Oryza sativa Japonica Group: one gene and its partners. The protein of the gene in region 1 binds, or shares a complex with, the protein of each later gene. Links are inferred from orthologs where the notes say so. Each region holds a gene or a part of one and is shown on either strand. Other genes may lie near its edges.

The links.
Region 2: 50S ribosomal protein L24, chloroplastic (region 1) and large ribosomal subunit protein uL10c share a complex: the UniProt entries of both Arabidopsis thaliana proteins name them as parts of the 50S ribosomal subunit. The link is inferred for Oryza sativa Japonica Group from reciprocal best matches to the Arabidopsis thaliana genes RPL24 and EMB3136.
Region 3: 50S ribosomal protein L24, chloroplastic (region 1) and large ribosomal subunit protein uL5c share a complex: the UniProt entries of both Arabidopsis thaliana proteins name them as parts of the 50S ribosomal subunit. The link is inferred for Oryza sativa Japonica Group from reciprocal best matches to the Arabidopsis thaliana genes RPL24 and AT4G01310.
Region 4: 50S ribosomal protein L24, chloroplastic (region 1) and large ribosomal subunit protein bL9c share a complex: the UniProt entries of both Arabidopsis thaliana proteins name them as parts of the 50S ribosomal subunit. The link is inferred for Oryza sativa Japonica Group from reciprocal best matches to the Arabidopsis thaliana genes RPL24 and RPL9.

The regions. Positions count from the first base shown.
Region 1 is NC_089040.1:29,338,638-29,342,696, forward strand, and holds 50S ribosomal protein L24, chloroplastic, read right to left. Parts: upstream 2,696-4,059; 5' UTR 2,616-2,695; coding exon 2,493-2,615; intron 1,384-2,492; coding exon 1,345-1,383; intron 1,270-1,344; coding exon 1,042-1,269; intron 929-1,041; coding exon 746-928; 3' UTR 524-745; downstream 1-523. UniProt on the Arabidopsis thaliana protein: One of two assembly initiator proteins, it binds directly to the 5'-end of the 23S rRNA, where it nucleates assembly of the 50S subunit. Required for optimal plastid performance in terms of photosynthesis and growth.
Region 2 is NC_089037.1:9,831,855-9,834,624, reverse strand, and holds large ribosomal subunit protein uL10c, read left to right. Parts: upstream 1-1,399; 5' UTR 1,400-1,460; coding exon 1,461-2,123; 3' UTR 2,124-2,246; downstream 2,247-2,770. UniProt on the Arabidopsis thaliana protein: This protein binds directly to 23S ribosomal RNA.
Region 3 is NC_089037.1:1,440,975-1,444,646, forward strand, and holds large ribosomal subunit protein uL5c, read right to left. Parts: upstream 2,210-3,672; 5' UTR 2,142-2,209; coding exon 1,839-2,141; intron 1,706-1,838; coding exon 1,505-1,705; intron 1,114-1,504; coding exon 778-1,113; 3' UTR 525-777; downstream 1-524. Other genes in the region: probable polygalacturonase, read left to right, coding at 1-447; beta-carotene hydroxylase 2, chloroplastic, read right to left, coding at 3,495-3,584. UniProt on the Arabidopsis thaliana protein: Binds 5S rRNA, forms part of the central protuberance of the 50S subunit.
Region 4 is NC_089036.1:35,818,835-35,823,044, forward strand, and holds large ribosomal subunit protein bL9c, read right to left. Parts: upstream 2,825-4,210; 5' UTR 2,806-2,824; coding exon 2,683-2,805; intron 2,016-2,682; coding exon 1,888-2,015; intron 1,538-1,887; coding exon 1,492-1,537; intron 1,223-1,491; coding exon 1,125-1,222; intron 1,041-1,124; coding exon 993-1,040; intron 891-992; coding exon 770-890; 3' UTR 704-769; intron 588-703; 3' UTR 350-587; downstream 1-349. Other genes in the region: 4-coumarate--CoA ligase-like 3, read left to right, coding at 4,141-4,210. UniProt on the Arabidopsis thaliana protein: Binds to the 23S rRNA.

The DNA of each region.
Region 1 (4,059 bases):
GTTTTCGTGACCTTGATGGGTTGCATCTTCGTCTCATGGGATCTGGACAGGTGTCAGGTTTCCCTCGCGGAGCAAAACGCAAGCAGAAAACTGTGGTTTGCTTACGATCACCTGGATTTGATATTTGCGTGCCATATCTGCTATGTTGATTCTCAGCCGTCAGCACGAGCTCTTGAGCTTTCATGTTATCAATGGCAAATCAGATTTGTTTTTTCCTTTTTCTGACTATAATCTTTTAGCACTATATATTTGTATTTTTTTTCCTACTATATCAATAGAAACATCGCTATCTTTTAGCACTATATATTTGTATTTTTTTCCTACTATATCAATAGAAACATCGCTGCGGGTTGTTTCAAAAAAAAAATTGCTAAGCTTGTTTCTTTTATGATACTCCTATCTTACTACTCCTTAAAAAAAAGAACTTATCAATCATTCATGGGTTTTATATGTACATCTCATCTATATTTCTATATGGAAATGGACCAAATTAGTCAATGGTTGCGAATAATAGCTCAGGACAGGGGACAGCAACAACATTACAAAATCATTTGTATGAGCGAATGTAGCTGAACCATTCTAGTAGCTGGTTAACAAGCCAAGCATGTCATTGGATACAAAAAAATGTTGGCAACTGTATAGAAATTTACAAGACTCTGAAATCTGAATCTAGAAAAGCATCAACTCATTTGGGCATACAAAAAGTGCAGTTCAGAAAATGTGCAGGACTCCCATGCTACCATGATCACTCCGAACTTCCTTCCTTGAACACCTTGACCCAATTCTCAGCACTGTCAATTATTTCACCAGTCTTGACCAGGTACCGAACCTTCGTTCCATCCTCAAGGAATTTGTGTCCAACCCTACTCGCCACATTCTTTTCCTTTGAGTAGAGCATCACATTTGAGCTGTGAATGGGGCCTTCAATCTGATCAAAGAAAACACCAACAACCATAGGTTAACGATCAGGCATCTGAAACTATATATACGACACTAGCTAGAAGCAGCACAGAAAGAAGTTTCAAGAGAAACAATGCTGACCATGACGATTTCACCCGGTTCATCTTCTGTTCCTTTCTTGTGCTTGGACTTCAAGTTCAAGTCCTTCACTATTACAGTGCTGTTGTGCTTAAAAAGCCGCGTAACTTCTCCAACTTTACCTTTCTCACGGCCTGCAATGACTTGTACTGTATCGCCAATCCTAACATGCATCTTGTGCAGGACAGGAAGACTGTTTGGTTTACACTTCTTCCTCTCCCATCGCTTAAGCTGCATTGGAAAAAGGGAAATTTCAGACATTTGAGTAAATAGCAAGCTGCAGACCAAAAAAGAATTGAAACTTACCCTCATTTGAATTGGGCATGTCTTGATCATAAATTTAACCTGCATATAAAAATTTATGCATATCTTGTCAGAGTTTCTTATGAAAATGACATAAAATGTAATAATCAGCTGCTTTTGAGATATGACATGAATCATGCTCACGATGTTTCTTAGGCAAGAATATCTAGGATAATCATATGATCTTTTAGTACGAGTTTCTTCATATAAGTGCAGATTTTAGTACAGTTCATCATATAAGTGCCATATATAGCTCAGTCACTCCATTCAAGAGCAATTATTCGGCCTTATTTTCTCTCATCACCACTTTCCAGGTAAGTAATTAGTCGTGAGTGAGTCTCATTCTGAGGACGAAGTGCAGTAGACTATCTAGAAGAGCTAAGGAACGCCAAAAAGAATATACAAAAGATAGAACAAGTTCAGTCTGATAAGTATACCGAGTGTGCCAATCATTTGCTACAGGCTATCCCCGAGTGAAATGAGTTTCCATCATTTTCCCATGGAAGTCTTCTGTGAAATTTCTACTGTTGAGTAATTTAAAGTTCAAAGGCAAAATTGTTTCTAGCCAGCGAAATGTGATCTATACAGCAGGTTAGAACAAGAAATGGTCTGTCTCACTAGAGGGCACATCTTTCAGAAAAATAATCCTCTGCTTGAAAGGCTGAATATTGGGTATCCATCGCTTATACCACCATAGGAAAAAAATAATATTCAAGTTTAAACTGAAACATAACAGGCCACATCCCATGGTAGACAACACAATTTCTAACTTCTGAATTCACTCAGTTGATATACTCAAACTTGAGATTTCAAGCATTCATTAATTCATATAAACCCTCCTTATACTAGCCAACTAGGTTCAACTATACCACAAAATCCTTGAGACCTTTTCTCTAAAAAAAATATACCACAAAATTTTGACACAACGTTGGTTGTTGGCTAGTTGAGGTCCTGAGCCTGAACTCCTGAAGGCAACAACAGTACAGTGAGGCGATGTAGACATCACCATTGCAATGCCACGCTGTTGGTGAGCTCTAAAATCCTAAATCTCAGTGCAAGCTGGCATTTCTACTTTTCCAGCGAATCATAAGAGCAGAGCAAACATAAAGGAATGCGAAAAATGAGAATCAGGGTTGGGAGTCGGCACAAACCCCAGCCGGCGCGGCGGCGAAGGTGGAGAGCGGGTGGCCCCAGAAGCTGCTGGTGCTCGCCGCCCCCGGCGCAGAGATGGAGAGGGACGCCATCGCGCCCTGCAACGCCGCCACCCCGGCCATCTTCGTCTCCTCCCCTCCTCTTCCTCCCTCGCTCGCTCAAACCGCAGAGAAGCAGCAGAGGATAACGAACGCCTTCGTGTGCTCGCGGACAGGATAATGGCGAGCGCTTTTCTACATGACAAATGGGCCTCTAGGCCGAATGGATTGGCCCACTTGTAAGACTCATAAAGGCCTAATGAAAGGCCTATCGTAATCCAGCCCAACTACAACGGACCTTACGGCCCAAGTCAGCCGCGATCCCGTTCAGGCTCAAATATAGCGGGCCTCACGTAAGCCGCAATCCCGTCTCGACCCAACAAGAACAGGTCGCACCTACACAGATAAAATCTATTGTACATTTCTCATCTCTGCTCCTGATTGAATTACCTCCCTCAACCGCAAAATGGAGGAAAATCGGTCTTATTGTTTGGTTATGCTTATATTTATGAGCCAAAATTTGAATTTGAGAACTTAGTTTTGAATTTGCTTTTTTGTTTTTTTAAAATGCTTATATTTTACAACATTTGCTTTAAGTTATTATGGACATATATAAACATTTTACTCATAAATAAATTTTTATTTGCTAATAAACGATTCGAATAAGCGAAAACCGTAGCAGATCAACCCTTAGATGGTTTGTAGGGTGGTTCCTGTTGACGTGGCAGGCTGACTCGCAGAGAACATGAGGGAGGCAAAATAGACTTACTATCACGCACGTCAGCAATCCGGTTAAGGCCCAAATGTCGTGGGCCGCTCGTCGTCCGCAATCCCGTTTGTGGTCAAGTAACGTGGGCCGAACGTCCTGGGTTGATATGGGCCGACACCCGTTTTCGGATAAGGCCCAGCCCAGCATACGCTCGTCGTCTTCCTCGTTGCGTTGCGTGGCTTCGTCTCCACACGCATCATCACCACGCCACGCGCCGCGAGATGCTGCTTCGGCGGGGGCGCCCAGGCGTGGCGCCTCCCGGATTCCGGCGGCTTCGACGTCGCCGGCGACGCGCGCAAGCCAAGCGACAGTTGCGGAGGCAAGCAACCCCCCAAGTTCCGTCCCTTTTGCGCTTTTCTGGGACCCATTTCCTCTCTCTTTTGGGGGGCGCTTTCGCGGTGACGACGCTGCCGATGCGCGTACGCCTGAGGAGTTCTTCCCCATCACGCCGCGTGGGGGATCGGGACGTCGCCATTTCCGCTGCCGTTTTCTTCTCTTTGGGGGGTTGCAATCTCGCGTTTCATTTGATAGGGTTGGGCGTGGGCGGTGGGGAATGGGGATGGGTAGGTAGATGGCACCGATGTGAATCGGACGACTTCGAATCGAAGCCTTCCGATCCATGTGAGGAGGTTGAGGAACCAACCTAATTTCGAATCGAAGAACTCTTGGTTTCTCTACCTAAAACCAAATAGCATAGTGACAGTGGTCGTTATACTATGAATTCCAAGCTTTTTGACCGAAGATTTCGAATCATCGAGC
Region 2 (2,770 bases), on another chromosome or scaffold:
CGTCAGGGTTTCAGGGCAGCAGAGCTGCAGCAGAGCTAAAAGTGAATTTCACCCTGTACCAGACGTTCTTGTTTCCCTGCATCTTATTTCTTGGATTTCAGTACTACCAATGACATTATTATATGAACTATACACTTCCATTATCAAAACCATCATTTCATGTTAGGGATGGCTTGAAGTGCACACGAGTTATGGAGAGAATGGTAAGCATCGGATGTTTGGTTTTCTGTGAAATTGCGTTGAGCATGCTGAGTCCGGAACAACTCCGTGTTTACAGCATCAGAGCAGCTGCTGTTGCTTGATCGTCGCAGTTTATATCCTTTCCACCTGACATCCTTGCAATGTTTATATCCATTTTGATCGTCGTACAAGAGATTCGCATGGTTTTCTTACCTGTAAAAAAAAGTTTGAATTATATATATATATATATATATATATATATATATATATATATATATATATATATATATATATATATATATATATATATATATATATATATATATAGTGATGCATCTACAAATCGGGCGCTCGATTTTTTACAAAAATCAGGCATTGTTTCACTAAATAGATCGAAAATGTTTCAATATTTTTAAAAAAGCTGAAACACAACCAAATCACATCGTGAAATATTTTGTTACAACATATGAAACAACAGTTTCCAAAAAAAAATCAGGCATTGTTTCATCCTATATAAAAACAATATTTCAGCAAATAGCAAAGGATGTTTCAAATCATTGCAACATTTGATCATACATAGTGAAACATCACGAGTACACTTGCTAAAACATTGTTGGTGGAAAAAAAAATGAAACGGATTCCTTTAATAAAGTATTTCCTTAATGTGCGGGTGATTTGTTATAACGACGCGTGTGGTGGGGCACGTGGGGGGGGGGACAACGCATAAGGGGTGGGAGCGTGCGGGAGGCGGCGAGCGCCCGATTTTTCTACCGCTGATCGGGCGCCTAATCGCTGTCATTTTCTTATATAGTGATATCTATTGTGTTGAATAATTCAGTACACTGATGTATGTTATGTTTTATTGTACATATCAAGAGTTTTTGAACTCAAGAAAACAATAGTGATGTATGCTGTGTTGAACAAGGCAGTGAAGATTGGAGTTGTTGGTACACGACTTCACTCACTATGGTTTAAATTGACGTCTATGAATACCACACATACGCGTTTGCTCTATGCCTCTATTTTTTTTTATTTGGAACTCTTAATCTTATTTTCAACCGCTCATGGATCAAGATCGAACGGCTATAAATCCTCAAGCAAAGGTCAATCTCCACGGAAGCTTCTTTCTGTGCAGCTGACCGAGCTGAGTTCACCATCTTCTCAGGCACTGACGATACGGTCCCACATAATCCAGTGAGCCCCCCGCCTCATCTTCCCCACAGATAAGCTCTCCCACTCCACTCTTTCTCCCAACCCGCCATAGCTCCCGGCCTCCGAAGATGGAGACCTCCTCCTTCCTCCGCACCACCCTCCCCACCGCGAAGCCCCTCCCGGCGTTCCAGACCCTCGCACCCCGCCCCCGCCCCCGCCCGCTCCGCCGCTCCACCATCAGCGCGGCCATCACCCGAGGCCGCAAGGAGGACACGGTGGCCGCCGTCCGCGAGCAGCTGGAGGGCTGCTACCTCCTCGCCGGGATCCGCTACGAGGGCCTCACGGTGAAGCAGCTGCAGGGCATCCGCGACACCCTCCCGGAGACCTGCCGGCTGCTGGTGGCGAAGAACACGCTGGTGGGGAAGGCCATCGAGGGCACGCCGTGGGAGGCGCTCAAGCCGTGCATGAAGGGGATGAACGCGTGGCTGTTCGTCCACACCGAGGAGGTCCCCGCCGCGCTCAAGCCCTACCGCGCCTTCCAGAAGGAGGAGCGCCTCGAGGAGACCAACGACTTCGTCGGCGCGGTGTTCGAGGGCAAGTTCTACGCCCCCGGGGACTTCAAGGCGCTCGAGACAATGCCCAGCCGCGCCGAGGTGTACGCCAAGCTGCTCGGCTCGCTGCAGGGGCCCGCGACCTCCGTCGTCACCACGCTGCAGGCGCCGGCCAGGGACGTCGTCTCCGTGCTCTCGGCGTACGTGCGCAAGCTCGAGCAGGAGGTCGGCGCCGCCTGATGGCTGTTGAGAGATGGTTTTGTGGCTTCGTTTCTCTCATCTCACTCATTTCTTGTAGAATTCCTGTACTTTTACTGCCTCACGTTTGAATTGAATCACAAAAGTTTTACCTCTTACAACGCATGCCTACTGGTCTGATTTCATAAGATTACCGAGTTCTGATGTTATTAGGATTACGTTGCGTACTTAGAGGGAATGCTTGTTCCACAACTAGTGTTTTGATAATTTAATTTTACCTGTAGAGACTACAGAGATCAAAGTTTAGTAGGTTGAGGGGCAATGGCAATGCACAATTAGAATGGTCAATAACTACTAGTGCTTGTGTAGTTGTACCATCAATCAGTGTATCCAGGTTTACAACAAAGTTGTTCAAAGCAGTATGATGAGATGTTTTAAAATCATGAACTTAACTGTGCTCTTTTTGTTAAGAGCAAACCTCCTTGAAGTGAACAAAATTAAATGATTAATTCATCTTTTAGTAACAGAATAACACTAATTAGAGTTGGAAATTCTTCTGAATTAGCTTCTGAAACTTACTGTTGGTCACCAGCTCACCACATACCTAATTTGTATCATTTCTGTCTGAACGCGCAGTGGATCAAGAATAGAATTGGCAAAATTGATGATCACATGGTCACTTATTTGTT
Region 3 (3,672 bases), on another chromosome or scaffold:
TCGGCCGTCAGGATCAAGTCCGGCGTGGGGCGCGGCGGCTACGTCAAGGACGTGTTCGTCCGCGGCCTCAGCCTCCACACCATGAAGTGGGTGTTCTGGATGACCGGCAACTACGGCCAGCACCCGGACAACTCCTCCGACCCCAACGCTCTGCCGGAGGTCACCGGCATCAACTACAGCGACGTGTTCGCGGAGAACGTCACCATGGCCGGCAGGATGGAGGGGATTCCCAACGACCCCTACACTGGCATCTGCATGTCCAACGTCACCGCGCAGCTCGCGCCGGACGCCAAGAAGCTGCAATGGAACTGCACCGATGTCAAGGGTGTCGCCTCCGACGTCTCGCCGGTGCCGTGCCCGGAGCTCGGGGCGGCGGGCAAGCCATGCGCCTTCCCTGAAGAAGAGCTCGTCATCGGTCCGCCTGAATTGCCAACGTGTAGCTACTGAAATACTGATATAGGATGATAGTATGGTGTGGGTAATGGCCTGGGCTATGAGATGCTTGGGACCAAAGAGATATATATGATGTGGTTTAGTGAGTAAAGTTAAGCAGTTTGAAAATGCTGCCGGATAATCTCTTTACACCCAATTCATTTATGAGTGCTCATCTGCGAATGACCTGACCAAAGCAAAGCCTTTTCATTTTGTCTTCTGACAGTAAATACAGCACGTGACAAGATAACAAAATCATCAAACTTCTAAACGAAACTTTGCAAAAACAATGACAATTGACAAAGTGAGAAGCAAAGCTCAACGTGCCTAGGCAGCGGTTTGCAATCACCGTCTTCCCCTGCCCTTGCTCATGAAGTGGTGGCGCTTCAACCTCTTCTTCCGGATCACCACGGAGGACTTGATGTGCTCCGCGAACGGCATGCCAAGGAGGGTGAGCAGCCTGAGAGCCTCGTTGTCGGTCTTCGCGGTGGTGACGATGCAGACGTCCATTCCATTCTTCTTCCCACCGACCTCGTACGGGATCTCCGGGAACACGCCCTGATCACGAAGGCCTATGGTGAAGTTGCCATGGCCATCAAAGCTGTTGGGGTTGACACCAAGGAAGTCCATGGTCCTAGGAAGCCCAAGGTTGATGAGCCTATCCAGGAAGTTGAACATTACCTGCAGCAAGCCAAAATAAGCTCATCGATCAAACATATTCCCTAGGTTCCCAAATACTTGTCACTGGATACTATTCATATTTGAACTTTGATCACTTATATTTTTTAGAAAATAAAATGCATATACCTAAAAATATGCCATATTATTAAAGGTTGTTACTCCACATAGATAGGTATTAAACTTTCGTTCGTCCAACCATTTAAAATTTGTGGTCAATGTAAAATACTGACGGCCAACGGTGACAATAATTTGGAACTGGATGGAGTAATTGCAATTCTCACACATACTTTAGGCTATTATACTGTCATGCAAATCCCAAATTGATACAACATTGCAGTCCCCAATTTGTCAATGTCTGCATCGCAAGTAGCCAGAGGTACAGAGGACTCACCCTGCCGCGGAGCGTAACGGCAATACCAATGGTGTTCCCCTCGCGGATCTTGAAACTGGCGACGGACTTCTTGGCCTTCGTCTTGACGGGCCACTGGCCGGTGATCATGGCGAGGTCCTTCATGGCGGATTCGAGCCCCTTGGAGTTACCGGCTTCAGCCCCCAACCCGCAATTCACTACAATCTTCTCAACCTTGGGCACCTGAATAAAATCGAGAATCCAAAACACACTCCTCTAAGCTCAATTATTGAACAACAATCGAATTTCCCGAGTTCCGCAAAGAAATGGCCATGTCTATCCTATAATTGCGAGAAGGGAGACAGAGGTCGAACACCTGGTGGACATTGGTGTAGCCGAACTCCTCGGTGATGAGGGGGACCACCTTCTGGTCGTATACAGCCTTGAGGCGGTGCACCTTCTGTGCCTCGGTGGGGTCGACGAGGACGATGCCCGAAGGCGAGGTCGGCGGCGGCGCCGGCTTGGGTGGCGCGTCGGCCGCGGCGGAGGCGGCGACGCGGAGGGCTCGGCGAGGAGGCGGGGAGCGGAGGAGGAGGCGGACGTTACGGGAGGAGGAGGCGGTGGTGGTGACGGGGAAGGGGGCCGGCGAGGACGGCAGGGTCACAGCCGTGGCCGCCATTGGAGCGTGCGCGGAGACGGAGGTGGGAGCTGAGGAGGGAGCTTTATGCCATGGATGGATTACGGGATAAGGCGAGTTGGCTGTGGCTGGCTGCCGTTGCTGTCCAGTGTCGCAGGTGGGCTTTCTCGTCATGGTTCGGCCCATCGAACTGTTCGACATGGTTTCAGGCCTTAGGCCCATCAAAACCGTTGATTTGGGCCTTAGGCCCATCAAAACCGTTGAGTTGGGGGTGAACTAAACACGGCCTAAGAGAAGGGTAAAGTTACATGAGTCAACAACTGCAAGTCTGCAGTGTGTGAATTTCGATATATGCCTTGTTTTGGTCAACCGGTAACAGTGTTTGAGTATGTGGCCCATTCTGTATTTTCTAATGCACTACAGGACATCACTAGTATAGTAGTAGTATGCCATTAAACGATGACTTCAAACATAAAAAACGCCGATGAAGAGCTTAAACAAGATCAAGCAAACTCTGAACCTAGCAACAGTTGCTGGCAGATCAGCAGGAGATCTGCCACGCTTGATCAACATTGAAAAATGGACGGAATATCACGACGAGGATCCTCGTCACATGCTTATGCCTAACTAATCATGCAGTAACCGTAACATGCAGTTCTTTATAACCAGGGGACAATCACTAGGATCTGATTTGAAAGGTCCCAGATCACAACATTGCGCTTGCCCTACCTTGTTCTACCAAGGACCAGCAATGCCACGACCGTGATCCTGTGAGGATCGACTTGACACCAAGAGTAGAAACACAACGGACAATATCTTCCTTGTCAGTTTGCAACCTAATCCTGATAAACTACATTAACCTCCTTGACCTCAAGAAGTAACTGTCAGTCTGTGACCTTGTCACTTGTCAGGGCCTTAATGAACAGCCATTCAGCAGTATGGAGGAACCGCCTAGTGTGCATAAGCTTCATTAATTCTTCTTCACGGTCAAAAAGTAATCAGCCATGCATCACTTTCATATTTACATCCGGCACATCTCGTGAACAAGAGATACAGAATGTCGGCAAATAAAGAATATAAAAGAAAGTACACATTTTATCAGTGAACACCTCACTGTCAGCAGCACGACTCAACCAGACTAATAAATTCAGAATGGTACTGATTAATATATATCATTACCAGCAGTACTAGCAAAAGCATCAGCCATTCAGCCCCAGCACATCATTTCTAATACCTGTGTGCTCCACCGTCCAAATGAGCTTCCAAATATCTATCTAAATTATTCTTCTATTAACAGGACAGAAAAGCATATTACAAGGCTACAATTGCCACTGAAGCAAAAACTAATAAGAGATGACAGCAAATAAAAAGAAAAAAATGTGTGATAAGTAGCTCTCATTGGATCGCATCTAAGGTCTCTTTCCTCTTAATCCTCCTCTTGATCTCCTTCTCCAGCTCCTCAATCCCACCCACCTCCTCCAGCTCCTGTCAACCACATAAAACAGAGACATTTTAGAACATTTCAGACAATTTTTCCGACGATCACAAATATTTGTAATACATCTTAGAACAT
Region 4 (4,210 bases), on another chromosome or scaffold:
CATTCCAATTTCCAAACCACTTCCCTAACTTTTTCCACCCTCACCCACAAACAAATCTAACCCAAATAGTTTATGTACTAACAGGATGACTAATTAGCTCAGCTTTGCCCGCGGCACACACTTTTGGCATATAAAGTCCGTGTCAAAGTTTCAGATGAAAAGTTTCTGGATGGAAGTTTCCAAACGAAGGTTTTTTCAGATGAAAGTTTTCATTAAAAAATGTGTTGAAATCCCTATGTTTGGGCCTAATAATACAGCGACCAAGCGGCCCAACCTACGACCACCAGACTGCCTACGTGCCATTTTGGCCCACCCAACCCAAATATTGTAGTAGCTCTATCAAACTATATGACTATAAAGAACGTGCACCTTTAAACAAGATTACAAGACAAGTATCAGTTGCTCTAGACTCTGAACCCTTTGTTGTTTACATCATGCCCATTTAACCCCATAACATTAACACAAATAAATTTGTCAAAAAAAAAAAGGTGCAAGAAACTGACTTTACAGGTAGGATGGACAGTGGCAATGTGTAAAGACCAAGCCCCGTGATGTGACACTGCACCTTGGAGTTTCAGCAAAAATCTCTGCAAGTAAATCATTGCATGAATTCAGCTGCTAACACAATTGACGAAATGTATATGACAGCTTAAGAACGGAGCAAAAGGTAAGGAACAATGGAATGCCTTGCAGATGAGCTTACCTGGTGAAATCAGAATTCATCCAAAGCCCACCATCCACTAAAGATTCAATCAAGCAGCTTCAGGGCTTATTTCGCATATACGGTCAGCCTTACTTGAGCTGTGACTTCAGGGTGAAGCTTAATCTCTGCAATGTATTCCCCAATTTCACGAATTTCTGGCACTGTCACGAGACGCTTGTCGACATCCCTACATGAAATAGTTTCCGGTAAGCAAAGCAACAGCAGCAAATAGAGCATCGCAATCCTTCCTTAAAAGGTAGTGATTGTCAGTGCACTTAGAAGGGCATACCTATTAAGTTGTGACTTTATGATGTCAACAAGATCTTGTGCTGTGACGCTGTAGAATAGAAGAAAAACTTGTTATTAAGTGCAAGTAAAATAAGACGATACATAAAGAACTATCTACTCGATAAAAACTTGCCTCCCAAATATCTGTTTTCCTTTCCCACCTTTACGTGGCACTTTGAATGCCCCAATAGTTTCAAAAACACGGGCAAGTTGCTGTGCCTCTTCTTTTACCTACTCAAGCACAAATGCTCAACAGGGTAAGATTATGCTAACACTGGATGAAAGTTCTTATACTCTTATGGAAAATGATATTGGTAGGAACAAATCATGCTTTAGACTTTTTACAAAATAAGCTAAACCACAACTACGTACCCTGGAGAACAAGGATTAGTAGGGTATAACTACCACAGTAGTTTTTAGACAGACAGGAACAAATAGGAATAAGTTTCAACTATATCAATTCTTACTGAGTCCACAAATAGAATAATAGGTTTACTTACCCGCTTCTTTTCAGCATCTATCCTCTCCTGTTCTACTTGCATTTCCCTGTAGACAGCAGCAGAGGAAATTAAGTAGCTTACTAGCCATCCTTTTACAAGAACTAATTGAACATGTTGAACACCCCAGAAGAACTGAACTAGAAATGCAGAATAGGCATCTATAAAAGTTTGCAGATTTATATGTCAATCCTGGGCTCCACAAGGAGGCAAGAGATACAATGGCTAACACAACAGAATAAATAGCTGCAAATTTACACCTGCAGCATACTGTGAAAACCAACTACGATGAAACATAAGCATACGTCAATTAATTTACTAGGAGCACCTATCTGTTGGTTGAAACATAGCCTATACAATTCGTGAGATGTGGTAAATGACTGTAAGACAGAAGATTACTTGAGTACTTCTGGGGTGAGCAGCGTTGCCTTGCCCTTTGGCAGAAGGAAGTTGCGGTAGAACCCGGCCCTCACTTTAAGCGTGTCCCCTTTCTTCCCCACCTCTGCTATGTCATCTGTCAGTATGACCTGGGAGAAAAAGAAACTCAAGTGAAGTAAATCAAATACGGAATCGTGCATTACATGCTAAAGTATAGAAATGCATAATAGACAAGGAAGATGATGACATAGGCTTGGAACATTTTACAGTTTACAGGTGCAAATTTTGAACTGGGTGTATCTAGATGCCTTTTAGTTGCAACTTTCCCTACAAACAAACAGCATGGCCAAACCAACAATTCCGGCGTTCCGGGGCATATACAGAATCATATTAGAGATGACTTTTGCATCTGAGTTGCAATGCTAAGAGGCACCTAATTAAAAACATGACGATAGTTTCTTCCATTTCCATGTACTGCATCAGAGCATGCGTCCATGGCAATGTATCTTTTCCTATACTCAGATGTGTGAATGCACACAGTAATCTTAAGCTTACAGCTGCTGCATTTCGAATTTTTCGATCGATGGAATGCAGTCGCATGCGCTTTGTAATCTACTGTACTGATTAGTGGACAGGGTGGTGACAGACAGTACATTGGGTATGGCTAGTTCTAAAAGAGGCAAAACAAAAGCATCACCAGCAACAGCTTGTTCAATCAGTCAGTACTAGTACTGCTTAGCTCGAACGAATCGCAATTAAATACATACATACATACATGCTGCAACTGTGGAGAGAAAATACAAGTGGAAGCCAAACCTGGCGATACTTCTTGACCTTGCCCTGGGCGACGACGACCAGCGACGGGGAGCGGCGCGGCGGGAGGCGGGAGGAGGGGGCGGAGGAGGAGGCGGCGGAGCTCCAGGCGAGCGTGGAGGCCATGGCGTTGGGGATGGATTGCGGGGGAAGGGAAGGAACTGCGGCTGCTGCTCTCTTATCCACTTCCCCAACGGATTTGGTGCCCTCTCTCTTGGGCTTTGCGCTGCTTTGGGCCTTTCAAATCGGCCCAGTATCAAAGGTTTTCTTCGGGGTTGTCATGGGCTTGAAGATTAAGGGTCATTTTGGTTTGGCGCTCCTTCTTGCCTTACTAATTCTTTGATAACTTAAAGGTCAAAAATAAATTATTTGGTAACTTTGAATAGTTAACACGTAACTATTTGAATTAGAGTCAAATTTTGCTAAATCAATAAGGTGAAGCCAAATAGACAATAACAAAAATTTAGTAATACCAAAATTTACTCAAGATTTGGCATTGCCAATATTTTGGCATGGTTTCATACCAAACAAGTCGTAATAATAATCCACCAAATTGTAACCCCCTTCCACTCAACGTATAGAGAAAGGTAGGAGATATATATGTACGTGATACCTCGACGATATTACTAAGATAGATAGATAGTACATGTGATGCCAAGATGTTATAACATACATTAAGAGAAACACTCAGGGGTCTTCCGGCTAGCTCCACAAGGTGATAGCCTAAATGACCTGGATTCGTAACCTCACCCCTTCTAATTATTTGATATTAGGTCCTTCACTAATATTCATGTTATAACATAAATCGAGAAATATATTATTATAACACTATTTTGGTGCTATCTTGAAACTCAACGATACATCACTAGCTACCATTACGTATAAACGTGTATTAATAGTATAAGCAAATATCAACGAGTATCATCAAGTATCAATGTGCAAGAACGAGTATTAGCAAATACTCCGTATCTTCATGAATAATATCAAAGAGTATAATCAAGTATCATTGTTTAATTATCAACGAGTATCATCAAAATATCATCCTCGTATATCATACTCCAGTATCATCTTGTTGTACTTTTTCTGACAAAGATCTCCAGCTGGTGACCTGTTTCTCGAAAGGAACAAAAATTAAAAAAAAACCTAGCAAATCGTTCTTAAAAAGAATGGCGATTATATATCTTATTGAATTAGTATGTCTACTGCTCAACGAGATGAGAAAACCGAAGAGAAGAGGGGTATATAATCGAGTATATGTCATCGTCGTCGTCATGTCATGCAGCCGTCCATGACTTCGTCCTTCCCGCCATCGGAGAAACCAAACAAGCGGACTCCACGAAGCTAGCTAAGCTAGCTAGCGCGCCAAAACTTTAAAAATCCTCACACCCTCTTCCACCTTCGCTTCATCTCCAATCCAATTCTCCATCGATCGTTACACCCAAAGATCGAGATACCAATACCATGGAGGAAATCTTGGAATCCGAGTACTCGGCCGCCGCCGCCGCCGGCGACGCGGCGTCCTTCGTGCTCT